Tribolium castaneum: one gene and its partners. The protein of the gene in region 1 interacts with the protein of each later gene in a pairwise test. Links are inferred from orthologs where the notes say so. Each region holds a gene or a part of one and is shown on either strand. Other genes may lie near its edges.

The links.
Region 2: the proteins of serine/threonine-protein phosphatase PP1-beta catalytic subunit (region 1) and serine/threonine-protein phosphatase 1 regulatory subunit 10 interact in a two-hybrid assay, tested with the Drosophila melanogaster proteins (2 studies listed by BioGRID). The link is inferred for Tribolium castaneum from reciprocal best matches to the Drosophila melanogaster genes flw and PNUTS.
Region 3: the proteins of serine/threonine-protein phosphatase PP1-beta catalytic subunit (region 1) and MYPT-75D interact in a two-hybrid assay, tested with the Drosophila melanogaster proteins (2 studies listed by BioGRID). The link is inferred for Tribolium castaneum from reciprocal best matches to the Drosophila melanogaster genes flw and MYPT-75D.
Region 4: the proteins of serine/threonine-protein phosphatase PP1-beta catalytic subunit (region 1) and NiPp1 interact in a two-hybrid assay, tested with the Drosophila melanogaster proteins (2 studies listed by BioGRID). The link is inferred for Tribolium castaneum from reciprocal best matches to the Drosophila melanogaster genes flw and NiPp1.
Region 5: the proteins of serine/threonine-protein phosphatase PP1-beta catalytic subunit (region 1) and Sara interact in a two-hybrid assay, tested with the Drosophila melanogaster proteins (2 studies listed by BioGRID). The link is inferred for Tribolium castaneum from reciprocal best matches to the Drosophila melanogaster genes flw and Sara.

Annotation. Positions count from the first base shown.
Region 1 is NC_087402.1:10,011,074-10,013,940, forward strand, and holds the end of serine/threonine-protein phosphatase PP1-beta catalytic subunit, read left to right. Parts: intron 1-1,346; coding exon 1,347-1,633; intron 1,634-1,683; coding exon 1,684-1,785; 3' UTR 1,786-2,350; downstream 2,351-2,867. UniProt on the Drosophila melanogaster protein: Required for cell adhesion in non-muscle tissues and in maintenance of muscle attachment. Vital for larval development.
Region 2 is NC_087398.1:6,659,047-6,662,217, reverse strand, and holds the end of serine/threonine-protein phosphatase 1 regulatory subunit 10, read right to left. Parts: intron 2,240-3,171; coding exon 942-2,239; 3' UTR 502-941; downstream 1-501.
Region 3 is NC_087394.1:36,197,643-36,201,777, forward strand, and holds the start of MYPT-75D (protein phosphatase 1 regulatory subunit 16A), read left to right. Parts: upstream 1-1,335; 5' UTR 1,336-1,564; intron 1,565-4,135.
Region 4 is NC_087396.1:21,737,803-21,741,237, forward strand, and holds NiPp1 (nuclear inhibitor of protein phosphatase 1), read left to right. Parts: upstream 1-1,358; 5' UTR 1,359-1,585; coding exon 1,586-1,614; intron 1,615-1,737; coding exon 1,738-1,952; intron 1,953-2,020; coding exon 2,021-2,238; intron 2,239-2,295; coding exon 2,296-2,847; 3' UTR 2,848-2,915; downstream 2,916-3,435. Other genes in the region: EGF-like domain-containing protein 2, read left to right, coding at 1-981; Aprt (adenine phosphoribosyltransferase), read right to left, coding at 3,064-3,435.
Region 5 is NC_087401.1:15,933,889-15,938,007, forward strand, and holds the start of Sara (zinc finger FYVE domain-containing protein 9), read left to right. Parts: upstream 1-1,302; 5' UTR 1,303-1,456; intron 1,457-1,505; coding exon 1,506-2,214; intron 2,215-2,264; coding exon 2,265-3,098; intron 3,099-4,119. Other genes in the region: ankyrin repeat domain-containing protein 13C, read right to left, coding at 1-99.

The DNA of each region.
Region 1 (2,867 bases):
AATAGAGATCTTAGTAATAAATCATTTGATTTTTATGTATTTAAAAATATCAAAACTCGACAGTTAAAATTTAAATTCGTTTTATTATAATGTTAAAAAAACGACTATTGGGCACCAGTTGGTAATAGTACTTTAGTTTGGTAGATTTCTTGCTTAAAAACGAAAAAACTCGCAGCCAAAAATGTAAAGTAGGCTTTAGGTCAATTTTGTTGAAATTATTTGAGTTGATTGAGTTGATTCCTGAGTCAAAAATTCTGTCAAGGAAAACAACGATTTCAGCACCCATTTAAAGATAAATAATATAATTTCGGACGATTTCTTGTTATAAAATGAGAAAACTCGCTGAAAAATTTCTATTTTCTGTTGGTACCTTTTTAAGCCTTCTTTTTAATATGAATATTACAAACACTGTTTTAAGACACGTTTCCGATAGCAACGTGTTTTTACTATTCTAAAACACGCTTCTCATAGCAACGTGTTTTAAATTAAAATGTTGTAACGAAAAAAAATTGATAACATTTATACGAAAACGCTTGAAGTTCTCGAGTGTGTTCTCGCTCGACAGCCCCCGAACTTTAAGCTTATGTTTTCGCACTCGTGTTATTAATAACTTTAATTTCTTTAAACTGGCTGGAAACGCAAAATTAAACATTTTTGAAATCAGTTTATTTTATACGGTTTCTTGCTCAAAAATGTTAAAAACTCGCTGTCGAAAACCTGAAGTCGCTTTATTCGCACCACAAACCTTTTGAAACATGACTGAAAATGGCTTATTTTGGATGATTCCTTGCTTACAAATTAGTAAACTTTTATAGAAGACACTGAAAGTTTATTTTGGACAATTTCTTGCTTAAAATCGAAAAAAAGCACGTGTTTATTTCACAAATCGGCTGATATGTGGAACTAATTCAACAGAGAAAGGCCATCATTAAAGTATGCTAGGTTGAACTAATTCTATTAAAAGATGTGCATTATTTGCATATTTGCTTAAAAATGTAAATTTTAAATCACCGACTTAATAATTTTCTTACAATAAACGACCTGTGTGTATGATTTCTGTATTTTATTCATCAAAATAAAGCCAACTTTTTGCATTTTGAAATTAAACCTCCACTTGTTTGCGAAATATAGATTAAGAAGAATTTTCGGTTATATATTTGCAAGTGAACAAATCATTTTTTTGCGTTATTTTATGTTTGATTTAAGCACGAAAAAACCTGAAAAATCGGTGTTTGTTAACACCTTGGTTGTTTGTGCTTCCACTGAAAATGAAAAAGTCTGTGTTGCCAACCTAATTTCGGAGTCATCGGCTGCTGGTATTTTATTCGATTTAATTCAAAAACCAGGTCTGCTGTGCGATTTGCTGTGGTCCGACCCTGATAAAGACGTGCAAGGTTGGGGTGAGAACGACCGCGGAGTGTCATTTACTTTCGGCGCTGATGTCGTTAGTAAATTTTTGAACCGTCACGATCTAGATTTGATCTGTCGCGCCCATCAAGTGGTGGAGGATGGGTACGAATTTTTCGCAAAAAGACAACTAGTCACGCTTTTCTCAGCCCCGAATTATTGCGGCGAGTTTGACAACGCTGGAGGGATGATGAGTGTAGATGAAACGTTAATGTGTTCTTTTCAGGTGAGGATTAGGTTTTTGTGTTTTGGTTCGTTTTGTAATTTTTTGTGTAGATTTTGAAGCCGTCGGAAAAGAAAGCCAAGTATCAATACCAAGGAGTGAACTCAGGACGTCCCTCAACGCCTCAGAGAAACCCAACAACTAAAAAGAAATAAAGTCGAGTAATTGACACCTCTTTTCATTTTTATTCAACTAATGCATTTGTAACGTTTATTCTCTAATACTGCTAGACAGTCAGTCGCATTGTGTTGAAGTATTATTATTTTGTATATTTATTTAGTTTTGTTCATTTTTTTTTAATTAAATTGTGATTATTTTGACTGATTAGGAGTTTTCTTTTTGACTGACTGGTCGTATTTCTATTGTAAATAAATATACGCAATTATTAATTTATTTAGGAACGAGACCAGTGATTGGTGTATTATTTAAAGAAACTATTGTTAAATTATCTTGCTTGCATTTCCATGTGCATCATAAAGTGGCCCAGCCAAAGACTTTGTGATTGGTCATTAAATGTTGTAGAAGAATCATTTTTCTTTGGTTCCTAAATGCTGCAATCGCATCTTGACATTTTGCAATCACCTCTTTGTATAGAAATTGGCATAAACGCGATTTTTTCACTCGTACTATCGTTTATGTTTTATATTTTATTTCGTTCTATTGACAAATCTATTTCACCTAATGTACTTTAAATTTGACAAATAAATCTATATATTACTAGCGACGCCTTTTTATCTTTCAAACCTTTGTCCTTTTTCTCCGATTAACACAATTTAGAATAAGTGGAAATTTTTCTGATCTTCTAAATATGAGTAATGAGTTGCTTTTTATGACAGTTTTTATGAAGAATCAATAAAAACTCGAATTAAATAAGAAAAACTGGAAGCGGAAGAGGTCATAATTTGCAGGAGGCCAGCAAACAGTAATAAAGTGCCCAAAGACTAATTTCTTAAATATTTTATTCAAATATAGGCGTTTACCAAATTTAATTTAGCAGCATTTTTACACAATTTATGAGATACACAAATACGTTTAGAATTTTATCATAAAACAAATAACCTTATCGAAGTGTTACAATAATTACTTACATTATTCATCAAAGCTTAGAGATACTATCACCTTTTTTATCACTATACCTGTAACTGTGACGTGGTTTCAGAAGGCGTAACAATTTATAATTTCACCCTTTATGCTTTTTGCGTTTATTTTTTTCTGTTGTACATAAAAATGAAAAATT
Region 2 (3,171 bases), on another chromosome or scaffold:
TACAGTAGTTTAAATTAAACTTACAAATTATTCAACAAAATGATCGGCGTTATTCACTTTGATTTACGGATTTTACAAGTCTTGATATAAATAATTTAGATTAAGTTCAAGTTTTCACTTGTTTGAACCTGTTTTCATTAGTGTGTGGTCGTGATAATGCTATTTTTTACTTTTTTCATTATAAATGTATGAAAATAATTCTCTGCAAACATTCATTTTGAAGATTAAATAATACGCGTGATCCAGAAAGACTGTTTCGGTTGGTAATATATTTTGGTCAACAGAGTTTGCAACACTGCAAATACGAATATGTAAATTTTATTGGATATGCGTCACCAACTAACTAAAAATTCCCTAAATGTAGAAGCCTAAAATAAAAATTTGTATACTTAACACGCGGCTTAGTTTAGCCTTGTTTTGTCTGGAGCTTTTTCCAGTTTTGGCCAGTTTTTTGTGTTAAGTGGGTCATATTATTGTTATTGTGATAATGAAAAACGTACGTAACTGTTAAAGTCTGTGCCTATAAAATTTATTTAAAAAATGAAAATAATCCGCTCTTAAAATTAAGTATAAAATTAATGTCACTGATAAATATCCATTTCAATTAATATTAACATTATATTAAATTTGCTTGGAAAAATTAACATCAAAATGTATTTTACAAAATCTTACTCTTTACATCTTAAAACATACCTAATAATTATTTACACCGGTGTGAAATAGTACTCTGTACATACATCGTTCACTCTAGCGCTAAATCACAATTGAATAAATTAAAATGTATGACAACATCCTCATCATATGTAGGTCACGTTTACGTTTAAGTAATTTGTACTTTAAAAAAGTCTGCTACACTTAAAAAATCACAAAATGTATATACATAACTACACTCTTAACTATATCACAAGAACACTTATCGAATTAAAAGCCACAAAAGTCGCTCATTTGGGGTGGATAAAGGGGCACTTATCCATATTCCTACAATATCCATGATTTTTCACGTTTTTGCACAGGCGCCCCCTGCCCCCACCGCCCCGATTGTTCCAATTTCCGGGCCCGTTCATCCTAATCCACGGCCCATTATTACCCCCTCTCCTGAAGCCCCCTCTCCCTCTGTTCATATTAAAATTATTCGGCGGAAACATCCCCATATTCGGGGGGTTAAACGGCATGGGGAAATTATTGTCATTCATCATGGGATTGTTGAAATTCTCCGGCCCGAAGGCGTTCGGGTTAAGCGGCCCTTGGTGCATCATGTCCGGGGGCGGCCCCATGATATTCCCATTGGGCATCATATTCGGAGGGCCCCCGAACGGCCCGTTCTGGGGGCCAAACCTCGGCGGCATGCCCTGGAACGCCGGGGGCTGGAAGTTCTGGAAAGGCACCGCCATGTTGGAGAATATCTGCGGGGGCAGATTCTCCTGCATGGGGGGCGGCGACCCCTTCGGCTCCGGCCAGGGGGTGTTCCGCAGGTCCATCTCCTGACTGTCCGCGTCCTCAAGTGGAATGTTGATGGGGTCGCTCATTTGGTGCGTCTCCGGGACTGGTTCTTCCGGACTATCCGGAATTTTCCGCTTGTCGAAGTACAGGGCCTGGAGCACGCTCTTTTCCCGGGCGAATTGTATGTCTTTCTCCAAACTTTTGCAACCGGGGGCTGCCAGGGGGTCGGGTAAGTCGATCAGGTACGGCAGCCGCCACATCGTTTGGGGCTCCATTATGTCCTCGTTTGGCAGTTTCCGCGACATTTGCAGCGCTTCGCGCTCGCTCGTCATCTCCATCTTCGCCATGTCCATGAAGTTCTTCGTTACATTCACTCGCTCGGTTTCGTCCAGTTCGAAGAAGCGCACTTGTGTTAAGTTGTTGTCGTTGAATTTGACCGATTTTTTCGGTCCTTTCTTCTTGGTGTAGACCAGGACGCCCTTGAGGCCGCCGTCCGTCCGCGGCCGCTCGTCCTCTTCGATCGGGGTGCCCGACCGTTCGGTTTCTTCCTTGTTTTCGTCCTTTTCGTCGGTTTGTTCCGTTTGTAAAGTGTCCTGGTAGAAGTTTGGCGCCGCGATATTTTTCAAACCGATGGGCGAGGTGACGGGCGATGTTGGTGTTTGGGGTTCTTGCGTTGTTGGGGAACTTGGAGTGTCTTTTGTGACACTCGGACGTCGTTTCCGCTTCTTGGGCTCTTTTTTCGACGTTGCTGAAGCCGCAAGAGCGTCCATGAATATGTCGCTTTCTTGTAACACCGGCGCTGCAAAAAACTAAAATTAGAAATCTTTTACAAACTGTTTTTATTTTGTAAACAAGATCGGAGGCTAAACATCTTGACAAAGTCCTCGTAAATCCACCAAACGTCCTTCAACTTGAAATAATTAAGGAAAAATTACATATTCAAACAGTGGAAGAAAGAAAATATCAGTCATAAAATCAATTATCGCTCCTATTACACAACTGTTATTATATTTAGTGAATGTCAAGGTGCGCTCGATTGTTGCGCCCCTTTTAGCGCTACAAATGAAACAATTTGATAAATAAAATATCGAATTACATTTTGCAAATTGCGGAATTGTGACGAATAATAAGATTATGTTACTTGTTTTATCTCAGCAAAAGAATTCCTGTTGCATTCGTTACACATACAACAGTTTGGTCAACTTGTTCAGTGGTTAATTATGTGCTTTTCATTTTTTAACCCGCTCTTTTTCTTATAGTGCGTGGATTATGGGAATCACTGAAGAGCTTAGGTAACTATGTTTGCACAACGCAAGCGCAGTGAAATCGCCGGTTCCGCTGCCTTTGTAATTTTTTAACACTGTCGAGGAGTGTTGACGAATATTTTTTGTATTAATTACTGCGCTAGCTTTATTATTCGATAAAAATAAATGACGAGTCGACTGCACTTTCATCTCGAAGTTTACAGACTTCCCATACTTACGCACGCAACAACTCTGGCCCTCTGTGGTAGAATCTGTCACGCGGCAATGAGGAAGATGTAAACTTCGAAGATGTCCAAGCAGATTCTCGACAACTGCAAAAAATCTATTCGAAAATTAGTAACATGTGGTCTCTGGCACTTGATATGCTTTTATTACAATCTAAACGGATTGCGTCATCGAATTATTTACTTATTTGTATATTTAACAGGTCTTTTAGCATGCGGTAACAAGTCGACCTATCATTATA
Region 3 (4,135 bases), on another chromosome or scaffold:
ATTTACTTTTACCACTTTTTGTTCATTTACCTCGAATGTAGGCAACCCCGACAACTTTCCAAATAAACTGGCTGCAGACGCACAAAAACCAGCCAAAATGGCAAAGTTTAATTTTCCGCTCATGTTTTGTACAATTTCACTACATTAACCAAATCACCAAATGTAAGACAAAACTACACATTTTATAAAAGAACTTAGCTTCCAACCAAGGGATTATTGCATCGCCATAACGTTAAGTAAAACTATTTAAATAATAAATGGAGAATTTCGAAAAAAAGGGACAACTCTACCTTTATCACATTAAATCGTTTACCTATTTCTTATCAAATTAAAGTTTTTCACAGAATCTGACAGTTGACTGATTGTCGTAGCGATTTGACATTTACAAACTCAAAGCCTGACCATGCTGATAAAGTCGTGGGCAACAGAGTTGGGTAAATAGTTAAATACCATACTGGGCTCAAGCGTGAAATATTCTGATGTAACAAAAAAAATTCTGTATTTTATTACGTATTTTTACATTACTTTTTACTCCTAAATAAAAAAACTGCCAGTTTTTAATCCTCTAAGCCAAATACAGGGAGAAATCGATAACTCTGCCATTTAAAAAAAAATTGAAAATATTTTTTAGCTCAATTGAAAGAAGAACCCTAGATCTTTCCTTTGGTGATTTCATATTTCTAAGAAATAATAACAAGCCCTAAATGTTTAAAATTAAGTTTCCAGAACTTTAAGCACCCATAAGTTAATTTTTTCAAATGAAATGCCACTAGTTTTATTTCATTAAATCGTAAAGAACCTAATTCTCCATTGATCTTTACTAGCATTCCCTATACTTATGTTTAATAGTTTATGTTTTAGTCAGTTGCAAATTCAAAAATTTTCAAAAAATCTTAAATACTATTTCCAAAATCGTTGAACTTAGGTATAGGAAAAGCTGATAAAACTCCTTTTGAAAAACATAGCTTTCTATTCAAAATAAAAAAGTTGCTAGCCATCTTGAAAATATTTTTATTGCGCAGAACTTAACAGATTACGGCTGAGTACCAACTTTCAAATAAATTTTTTTATTATAACTTTCAATACTTCTTATGTGGGGGTTTAAACGAAACGGGCTGTATAAAATTATGTAAATTATAAAATAAACTGCAAAAACCATTGTCTTCATCACAACTACAATTTTTTTCGCCAAAAAAAACCGGAAGTGTGATTTTTAGAAATGGGAGTTGTTTCTAAGAAAATGATATATTTTGCTAGCTAGCGGAAGTCCTTACGGTCTCACTTCCTCTCCCGTGGTGCGCGCGACTTGATCGACGCGGTAGATTCGCGCAGGTAGTTGGTGAAAGAACGTAAACTCGTAAAATGCAGTGGAGCTTATCCGAAAACCGTTCCTTCCAACGCACTGTGGTGTACACATCTGCGATGTTTTTGTGATAAAATGTGGAAAATTCGAAAAAAATGTGCGAATTATTGTCGATAAAACTGTGCGTTCAAATTACATGTGGACTTTCAGTGACGACTGCGATGTGTAGGACTTAAAAATGCGGCTAACCTGTTTAGAAAGGTGAGAAAAGTTTTTTGAAATTTTTGTTTAGCGTTCCGGTGCTCATTTCCGGTTGTTTTTCGATACATGTGAGGGTTGAATGCCTTTCAGTGCGGACTTTACGCTGTTTACTATGAGATTTATCAACTTTTCCAAACTTTTTGCTATTGTGTTTGCTCACGTTCGACGAGTTATCAAGTGTATCAAAGATTACAATTCATGATCAGAGATAATAATTATTTGTATTTTTTTCCACAGGAATTTTTTTATGAGTTGTACAGTAAAAAAAATTATTCTGGCACCAAAACTTCCCAAAAAGTTGTTGGTAACATACAATTTTTTTTTAATTTTTTTATTGTCATTTTAATCGTTCCTGTAATTGTTTGTAATTTATGGACTGTTGTAATCGGATGTTCGGTACAGTTAGCGGCAAAATAATTGCTCGTGACGTCACGATACCAGTTTGACATCTACCTTCTTGATTCATTCATTCTGATCTTAGAAATTGTTATTGTTTTGTAGTCACTGGAGGGACGAAGCAAGTCCTAGTCTTTCCAATGATTAATTAGTCAGAAATAAATTATACTAACATTTATTAAAAAGTTAAAAACGATTATTACATATTTGTAAAATGTGGTTATACAAAAATAATGCTCAGTTTTTACAATATATGCAGTAGATAATTTTCGGCAAAATTTCCATGATAAAATTCTTTATCTTTTTGATATTGCGAATGTTTGCTACTTCAGTGGATGTCTTTTAATAATATCTTAAGTACCTAAGTTAAGTGTGGATCGATCTTTTTAAAAATCTAAATCTCTTTTACTTTCTGTATATTTTTTATATTAATTAGTATTAAGTCGCTACACAAAACATTATTTCTCATGTCGATGCTTAACTATTATAAAAAAAATACGTAAAAAATGGCGCTAACCTCCAAAAATAATTAATTAAATAAAAACTAGAAATTTAGGCAAAGATAATTAAACATCAGAAGCACCAGAAATTATAAAAAAATTCGATCATGTAATATTTTAATACATGTTTTAATTAATAAATATTTATTATAAGGAATTTTGGAAAAATTCAGTATTTAGCTCAATAGTTTAGGTGTTAGTTTTTAAGTTTCTCAGCTGTTTTTGTACTCATTTTTTTATTCATAATTTAATTGTACATAGTTTTTAGTTTCTCTCTATTTTTCAGGTATTCTAGTCTCAAAATTTCTGTTTCACAGTTTTATAGTATTAATTTTTTTGTTTCTCAATGTTTCAGTATCGCAATTTTTAGTCACACTTATAAACATCAGAAGCACCAGAAATCATAAAATTTCGATCATTTATTATTGTAATGCAAATTTTTAATTAATAAAAATTTATTATAAGAAGTTATAGAAAAGTTTTTAAGAAAAGTGTGTAGTTTTTGAAATACAGTAAAAATGACTTAGTAGACACACTTTGTATTTTTTTAATCGGCTCGATTTTTACGTAACTAATTGAATCAAAATCGCTTTTTAATAATAATAATAGTTCCTAATAAAATTTTAGCAGATAATTACGAATCAGGAAATTGACTCACCCTGCCTTTGTAACAATTAAATCAGACCTTGATTAAAACAGCAATTAAGATTGTATTGAAATTTTCTTATCAAAAGTTTCCCAGCTGTTATTGCTCCGTAATCATTGACTTATTTTGATAAAATTTAACTAGGAATACTGGTTTTTCTGTCGTAAATTGCAAATCAAAAGATCAGTGGCTGTTAACGTTGCTTACATCCATGTAGCAATTTGATTTTTACATCATTTTTATTGTTGCGTTTTAATTGCCGACCTAAATGCGCAAAGCGGCTCTCGTTTGAAAAATTACAAAGAAAAGACTGTGATAGCTGTCAATGCACTTTGAATGATGGATTTAATCTTGAGCTGAAATCATTTCGCGTATAAAAAGTAAAAATGAAATGCATTTGATAAAGAGCTTGATTTCTCTCGTGGTTAGCAACTTGCCACAAGAAAACCAAATACATGGCATTGACTGTCTGTGTCAGTGACATCAACTTCAAGCCTTAAGGATATATTGTAAAGAGCATCCTTGACACCTTACTAGACATTAAGTTCCTTATTGATTGCGCTAATAACACTTTCATTGTGTTTAGATTTTATGTAAACACGGAATTGGTTTGTATAACAGCGACAATTAATATTATTTTTAGAAATAAGTGCACTGTGTGAGAGTGGTAACAATTAAGACAGTTAGGGCAATAAGAAATTATGGGTGTTTAAGTAATTTTCCAGTTAATCCCGTTGTGACACTTTGTCCAATTCTAGATAGAGCAAATTACGTTAAACCACCGTTAACTGCAATATATCACCATCGATCGTAAATGCAGCGTGTAATTAACCTGTAACATTTAGATTAAAAATTTTCACAAAGCTGAAGTAGAAAGTTGGATTTGCAATAGTGTCACTTTGCTAAAAATGGAATTTATGTAATCTCCAGTGATGTATTACCCCTCCCGAGTCGTGTTACTAAAAATAGTTGTAATAAAATTAATCAACATTTATTCGCTTATTGGCACAGTGCATATTTTGGTTCTAA
Region 4 (3,435 bases), on another chromosome or scaffold:
TTTAACCGCGAGTTCAATGGAGTGATTTACTCCAAAGGCTACTACAACATGCCTGAATGTCGCTACGTGAACGAAAATTCCGAAATGACGAAATACCGCTTCACCGTCAGTTTGAACTCTTGTGGGACTGAATTTATCAACGCGTTTGATACTCAAGGACAGTCGTACCTGGAGAACGTCCTCGTGATCCAAAACGAGCAAGGGATCCAGGAGGTTTGGGACACAATCAGAGCTGTGAGGTGCCTCTGGGAGGGCAACCTGAAGGACTCCCTCAGCGTGGCGCTCAGCGTGGGGATGCTAAGCCAGGAGATTGTGACTTTCAGTGGGGACACCGCCATGGCCAAGCTGGACATCCAACTGGGCAAAGGCCCATTCGCGCCCCCGGCCAACGGTTTGGTCAAAATCGGGGAGCAAATGACCCTTGTTATCTCCGTGACCGGAGACCCCGGTTTTGACATCCAAGTCAAAGACTGCAGGGCTACGGACTCGACCGGCGACCGCGTGTACCCCCTAACCGACGAAAACGGCTGTATTCTCAAACCCAAACTATTTGGCGCGTTCCAAAAAACACGAAACACGGGAAATACCGGCGCTTCCATCATTGCCTACGCGTTTTTCAACGCTTTTAAATTCCCAGATGTGATGGATTTGATGATTCAGTGCAACATTGAGCTTTGCAAAACCGACTGTCAGGTGTGTCCAGAGCCCAACCAGCAAATCGAGCCTGGGAGGAGGCGCAAACGTGACCTTTCGTACTATAATAACACTGACGGGGTCACAATGGGGAAGCACCTGAGGGTCGTTTTGGCGGAGGATTTGAACGATATTGGCAATACTGAGGCCGCGTTTGAGGGGGAAGTTTGTATGACGACGCAGAATTTTCTACTAGTTTCGGCGATTTTGATCTCGCTACTCACTGCCAGTAGTGTACTAAGTGCTTGTCTCTGGTTGAAGAACCAACGGATTGCTCACAAAGGGTGACAACTTTACCACAATCCTGCCAATGTAGTTCCGTCCATTAAGTTATTGTGACTCCAGTATTTTATTTAAGTTTTTTAATTATCGTAGGCCCATATTTATGTAAATACTTGACTAATAAAGTAAGAATTTTGTAGCGTGGGGTTTTCTTTTATCAAGGTTGACGACAACGACAGACTAAATTTGTTTAATAAAAAAGCATAATTTTTTTGTATGGGACTTTATTGATTGAAATTTACATAATTTGAGGCGTAAAACTAGTAAATCATTACGATTCATTGTAAGCGATTAGTTCATAATACATATAAACGAAAAAAAAAAATGGTCTGGGTCAGGGTTTGAACCCATAACTTTTGAGTTGGTGTTGATCAGTTGATGATTCCTCGGTCATAAGCACTTTCGTACTACATAATAGCAGGTTTTCTCAAATCAATGCGGTGCCAAATCGGTACAAAAAGTTTAAAACAGTGATTTTATAACAAACAAACGATGGGCTTATTATTTGGGTGCGTTTTAATGTCGTTAGATTGACAAATAACGAGGTTGTTTTATTCGGCCTTGTGCAACTTCGGACGTAGCGTTATGTCACCTGCCAAAAAAGCGACAAATGGCAAACCATTATGAGGTGCCAAATTGGTAAATAATCCTTGAAAAATTGTGTTATTGGCCCCTGAACCCCTCACTTATCATTTCGCCCCCTTTTCTGTCACACAATCCACAAATCGTGTGTTTTTGTGTGTTGAGGTTATGCTGTTTCAGGGCAGGCAAGCCCCCCGTGGGTTTGCATTTGGACGTGCTAAAGGGCGACAAACTAATACAAAAATTGATGATCGACGACAAAAAGTGTTACTTATTTGGACGCAACGCCCAAATGAACGATTTCTGCATCGATCACGCGTCATGTTCGCGGGTTCATGCAGCCCTCGTTTGGCACAAACACTTAGATCGGGCGTTTCTGGTGGATTTGGGGAGCAGTAAGTGTCACGTGTGCGCAACTTAGGGCTTTTTTGTGTCAAGACTTGGATAATTTGCGTTGTTTTAGCCCATGGCACCTTCATAGGATCATTAAGACTTGAGGCGTATAAACCCACTCAGTTGCCTATTGATTCTAGTTTTCACTTTGGGGCGTCCACGCGAAATTACACGATCAGGGAGCGGCCCCAGACGGGCATGCGGCCGATCATTGACGAGATCGAAAAGGCGGGCGAGGAGACCGAGGGCGGATTGCTGGGGCTCCCCGAGACCGAAACGGAACTCGATGTAAACCACCCCAACCAGCGAAGCTGAGAGCTTTACAAAAAATATTTTTTTCCATAGAATTTGACGGAATTTAACACCGCCCACAACCGGCGGATATCAATGCTGGGAATCACCGACGACACGGAAAAACGCAACACCAACCGGAAGCGCAAACGCCAAGTCGTTTCCTTCAACGAGGACGAAGAGATCATAAACCCTGAAGATGTGGACCCGAGTATCGGTAAATTCCGAAACTTGGTCCAAACCACCGTTGTACCTTCAACCATCAAGAGGGCCAAATTCGCGGCTGAGAATATCGGAATCCCCACTGAATACAAAAATCCCAAAATCCTTCATCCCTCCGCCCCCGATTTGTACACAGACCTGCCCCCCGAATCCCACTCTCCAACCAGTTCAGGGAATTTAAGCATTTACAGTTCGTTAAGTTCACGCCTTGGAATGGTTTTACCCAATCCGGCGCCAGATGTCGACATGGGACAGAACTTCGCCCCGCCCACTCCCTTTGTCCCGCCCCAAGTACAAATTGCGGACGCCATGGAGCCCAAGAAAAAGAAGTATGCCAAGGAGGCGTGGCCTGGCAAGAAGCCCACGCAAACGCTATTGGTCTAGGATTAGGTGTAAGCTTTTGATGTAATTTTCTCAAGGTCATAGATTAAATATTCAATAAAAAACGAAAAGTAGTTTCTTTTATCGAAAAACATGGCGAAATAATTTCTGAATTCTGGGAAACAGTTTCAAACTAACACCAACTTGACAAAAATAGGTTTTTTATTTCACTACTTGATGGAATGCAAGGCACTCTCGATTGAAATATCAATCAAAAAATTAATATTTAATAATGGACAATACCTCTGCTGGCACCTTCTCCCGGCCTTTGAGCCCCTCGAGCTCCATTAGAACGAGACACCCTGCGACTTCGCCACCTGCCCCTCGCACGAGCTGGCAGGCAGCCCCTAGACTGCCCCCCGTGGCTAACAAATCGTCCACAAGCAGGACGCGTTGCCCCTTACTTATGCTATTTTCCTGAATTTCAACAGTGTCATGACCGTACTCGAGAGCATACTGCGCCGACAAAATTTTCCCCGGTAGTTTACCCTTTTTCCGAATTGGAACGAAAGGTATGTTCAAATCAATCGCCATCAACGGCCCCAAGAGAAACCCCCGAGCATCCAATCCCACGATACATTCAGCCGGGGG
Region 5 (4,119 bases), on another chromosome or scaffold:
GGCCCCCACATCGTGTTTGCGCAAGAGGCGGGACAGGGATTTCAAATCGTTATTAAAAACAGCTTGGTGGAGAGGATAACTGTCATTTTCCTCGGCCATTTTTCAATTCTAGTTTCCTACTAACCTAATTGGGGGGTTTTAAGTTACCAACGCAAAAAAACTGTGACGTCACCCAGGATGCTCACCAGTTTTTCAATTTTTTTAATAAAAATTATAAATAATTTATGCGTAAGCGACTAAAAAAACTAGTTTTTGTAGTAATAAGAAATAATAATAATAAAACAAGTATAATTTTGGGTAGAAAACAAGTTTTTATCAAATAACTACGAATGTGTTAGGATTTATAAAAATACGTTAGGGTTGTAATAAGAAAAAAATGTTTTTTTTTAATTTTGCATTAAATTATATAAAAATAAACAAGGGTTGCCATTTGAAATAAGCAAAATAAAAAGTTCTAGGTGTGGAAAAAAATTGTAACAATTCAAATCAATAAAGATATAAAACCAATTTTTTTGAGTTTTATTTTTAACAGTAATCCCGGAAGCAATTAAAAAAAACTTTACCGACATGAAAGAAGCTAGAAAGGCATCCTAATAAGCACTAACAAATAATAGCATGCCATTGAAAAAAAAATTATTATGATGTCATACTTCTTTGGGACACTCTGTATAATCAAAAATCTTCTTCTAAAATACGTCCTACAGTATAAATAACGTCTGTAGAATATCGAAAGTCCAGCTTTACTAATAACTGAGCTACAGAAGACAGAAGCTGAGCTGGACCACCCTGTATATGACGCTTGAACGATTAAAAAGTGTGAAAAACATGCCGTAGCGTTTAATGTTTTCACTCTTTATGCGTTAAAAATGTGGCGTAACGTGTGATTTTTTTGTGTAGGATGTAGAAAAAACGTTGTATGCATCTCGTAAGTAAATAAATATCTTTTTTTAACTTGTAAAAATTGCTGAACTGTTCCAATTCGTTAAAAAAAGTGTTACGTTACGCACTTGTTGCATAAATAATATTTTTACAGTATTTTAAAAACTAATAGTGGCACAGAAATCTGCGTTTGCTGTTAAATATTTTAAATTTTACTCTAAACGTGCAAATTTTTTCAAAAAAAAATTTTCAATTTCTAAAAATAATTATAAATAAATTAACTAATTAACTAATAGAGTTGCCACAAAAAAATTTTTAATGTCACGAAAGTTTCTACTGCACTCTAACAATTTAAATAAGCATACTGGATGACGTAGTTCGCGCGCTTTGCGTCTATTGGCCAAGCCTCAGCACACAATCAGTGACTTTTTTGTTACCAACCGTCCCCAATGTCATTCGAGTCAGCTGATTGTGATATTTTAGTGTGGTTATAAAAGCCAAAAAAGTGGGTTTTTTGTTTATATTTATTTATTTTCAAATAGTGCAATGAAATATCTGGGTTATTTAATAACCGGAAGTGAGTTGCGACCTAATTGCGACACTTGAGGCCAAGCCCCCTTTTTCAGATGGATAAATACACGGTGGATTTAGACCAGGTTTTGAACGATTTCGAATATAGCGAACTAACCGACCAACACAGTTCAAACCACAAGCAAAATTTCAACAATTTCAAAAACTCGAATGTCAAACATTCGATCAACAACGTCTTTCACAGCCTGAACGAGTATTTAAACACCGATATTTCACCCAAATGTGAGCCGATTTTGCCCGAGACTGGCGAAAATTCCGCCAATAATGCGCCCGAAGAGGTCACTCAAAGTGACGAAAACCACGTAATTGAGGCCGAAAACGGCGAAATTAACCACGTAGTTGAGGAAGAAACTGAAATAATCTCACTAGTAGAGGATAAGAACGAGGAAAGTGATCAGGAAGAATCTGAAGAAACGGTTGAAGTCGAGTCACGCGACTCGCCCCCGGTTGAGGAAAATCAAGTCGCTTTGGTTGCAACAAACGAGTCAATTGAACAAAAGACTGACGAACCAAGTGACCTTGAGAGTGAAGAAAAGGGCGACACAGGTGTGTCCAAAGTAGGCTTTGATGACGACATTGATTTAGATGAGTCGGAATTGAACCGATATTTGGACGAATTGGAGCAAGAATATGACAATACAACACCCAAAACAAGCGAAGAAGACGAAACAACATCAAGTGTGCGGCCTAACAACCTGCCATTGCCACAACAAGAGGACGAAAAACCGGTCATAGACCTAGTGGGTTGGTACCACCGCCGCGAAAACTTCCCCCAGATTTAGTGACTTTTTTAGGCGAGCCTGGTTCAACTCCCTATAACAACGTTTACGTAAATAAGGAGTTGCCCCAGGAAGTGAAACAAAACAGTGATACTGAATGTTCAACTTCCGCTTCCCCCACTTTTTCGGACATTTCCAGTGAGACAAATTCGTCGTGCACGCCCTCCACCGACACGGTGGAGGAGCCGGCACGGGAGGCGGCCCCAACCGAACCCCCCGAAGGGGGTGCCGGTGACCAACTGGAGCCCCCGCAAGTTTCAGACGCTACGTTGGGTAAACAAGCCCCCGTGTGGATCCCCGATTCGGAAGCGCTCAATTGCCAACATTGCGACACTAAATTCACTGTAATCAAACGTCGCCACCACTGTCGTGCCTGTGGTTACGTCCTGTGTTCGAAATGTTGTAACCTTAAGTACAGGCTTGAGTATCTCGACGATGTGGCACGAGTTTGTACGAAGTGTTACGAACAGTTGGAGAAAGCCGCCACGGTTACCAATAGTTCAGACAGCGAGTCAAATTCCCCCAGATCGCAACCGAATCCGAATAATCCACTTGAGTATTGTTCAACTGTACCACCACATCAGCAAGTGGCAGGGAATGTGGCACCGCCTGCTGTGATGGTGCCAGTTGGGGTGCTTAAGAGGAAAGGGTCGAGTAAAAGGACTAATAAAAGTGTGATGTTTTGCGATGGAATTAGGCCCGGGAGTGATTTAACCAATCTGGATAATGATTTTAATTACAGTGGGGTCAAAGGGGGCGAGAAAAATTTTCCGGTTGTTGATCCGGAAACTAATAGTTTTATACCCAAGGGGGACGATTTGCCCCCGACTGTCACCATAAACAAATCAGGTAAAAGTTGGCCATGGAAGGTACCATTGTCCAATTTGAAAAAAAAAATTATACTCACAATTAATCAAAAAAAATACTGGCACTTAAAGTTGGCTATGGAATTGTGACAGTTACCTCCTGTTACCAAATTAAATTCATAGTCACTGATAAAAAAGTTTGTCCAACTTGAAAACAAAAAATTGATACTCACAATTAATTAAAAAAAAATACTGGCACTTGAAGTTGGCCATGGAAATGTGACAGTTACACCCTGTTACCAAATTAAATTCATAGTCACTGGTAAAAAAGTTTGTCCAACTTGAAAAAAAAATTGGTACTCACAATTAATTAAAAAAAATACTGGCACTTAAAGTTGGCTATGGAATTGTGACAGTTACACCCTGTTACCAAATTAAATTCATAGTCACTGATAAAAAAGTTTGTCCAACTTGAAAAAAAAATTGATACAATTAATTAAAAAAAAATACTGACACTTAAAGTTGGCCATGGAAATGTGACAGTTACACCCTGTTACCAAATTAAATTCATAGTCACTGGTAAAAAAGTTTGTCCAACTTGAAAAAAAAATTGGTACTCACAATTAATTAAAAAAAATACTGGCACTTAAAGTTGGCTATGGAATTGTGACAGTTACACCCTGTTACCAAATTAAATTCATAGTCACTGATAAAAAAGTTTGTCCAACTTGAAAAAAAAATTGATACAATTAATTAAAAAAAAATACTGACACTTAAAGTTGGCCATGGAAATGTGACAGTTACACCCTGTTACCAAATTAAATTCATAGTCACTGGTAAAAAAGTTTGTCCAACTTGAAAAAAAATTGATACTCACAATTAATTAAAAAAAAAATACTGGCACTTAAAGTTGGCCATGGAAATGTGACAGTTACACCCTATTACCAAATTAAATTCATAGTCACTGATAAAAAAGTTTGTCCAATTTGAAAAAAAAAATTGATACTCACAATTAATTAAAAAAATAAAATACTGGCACTTAAAGTTGGCCATGGAAATATGAC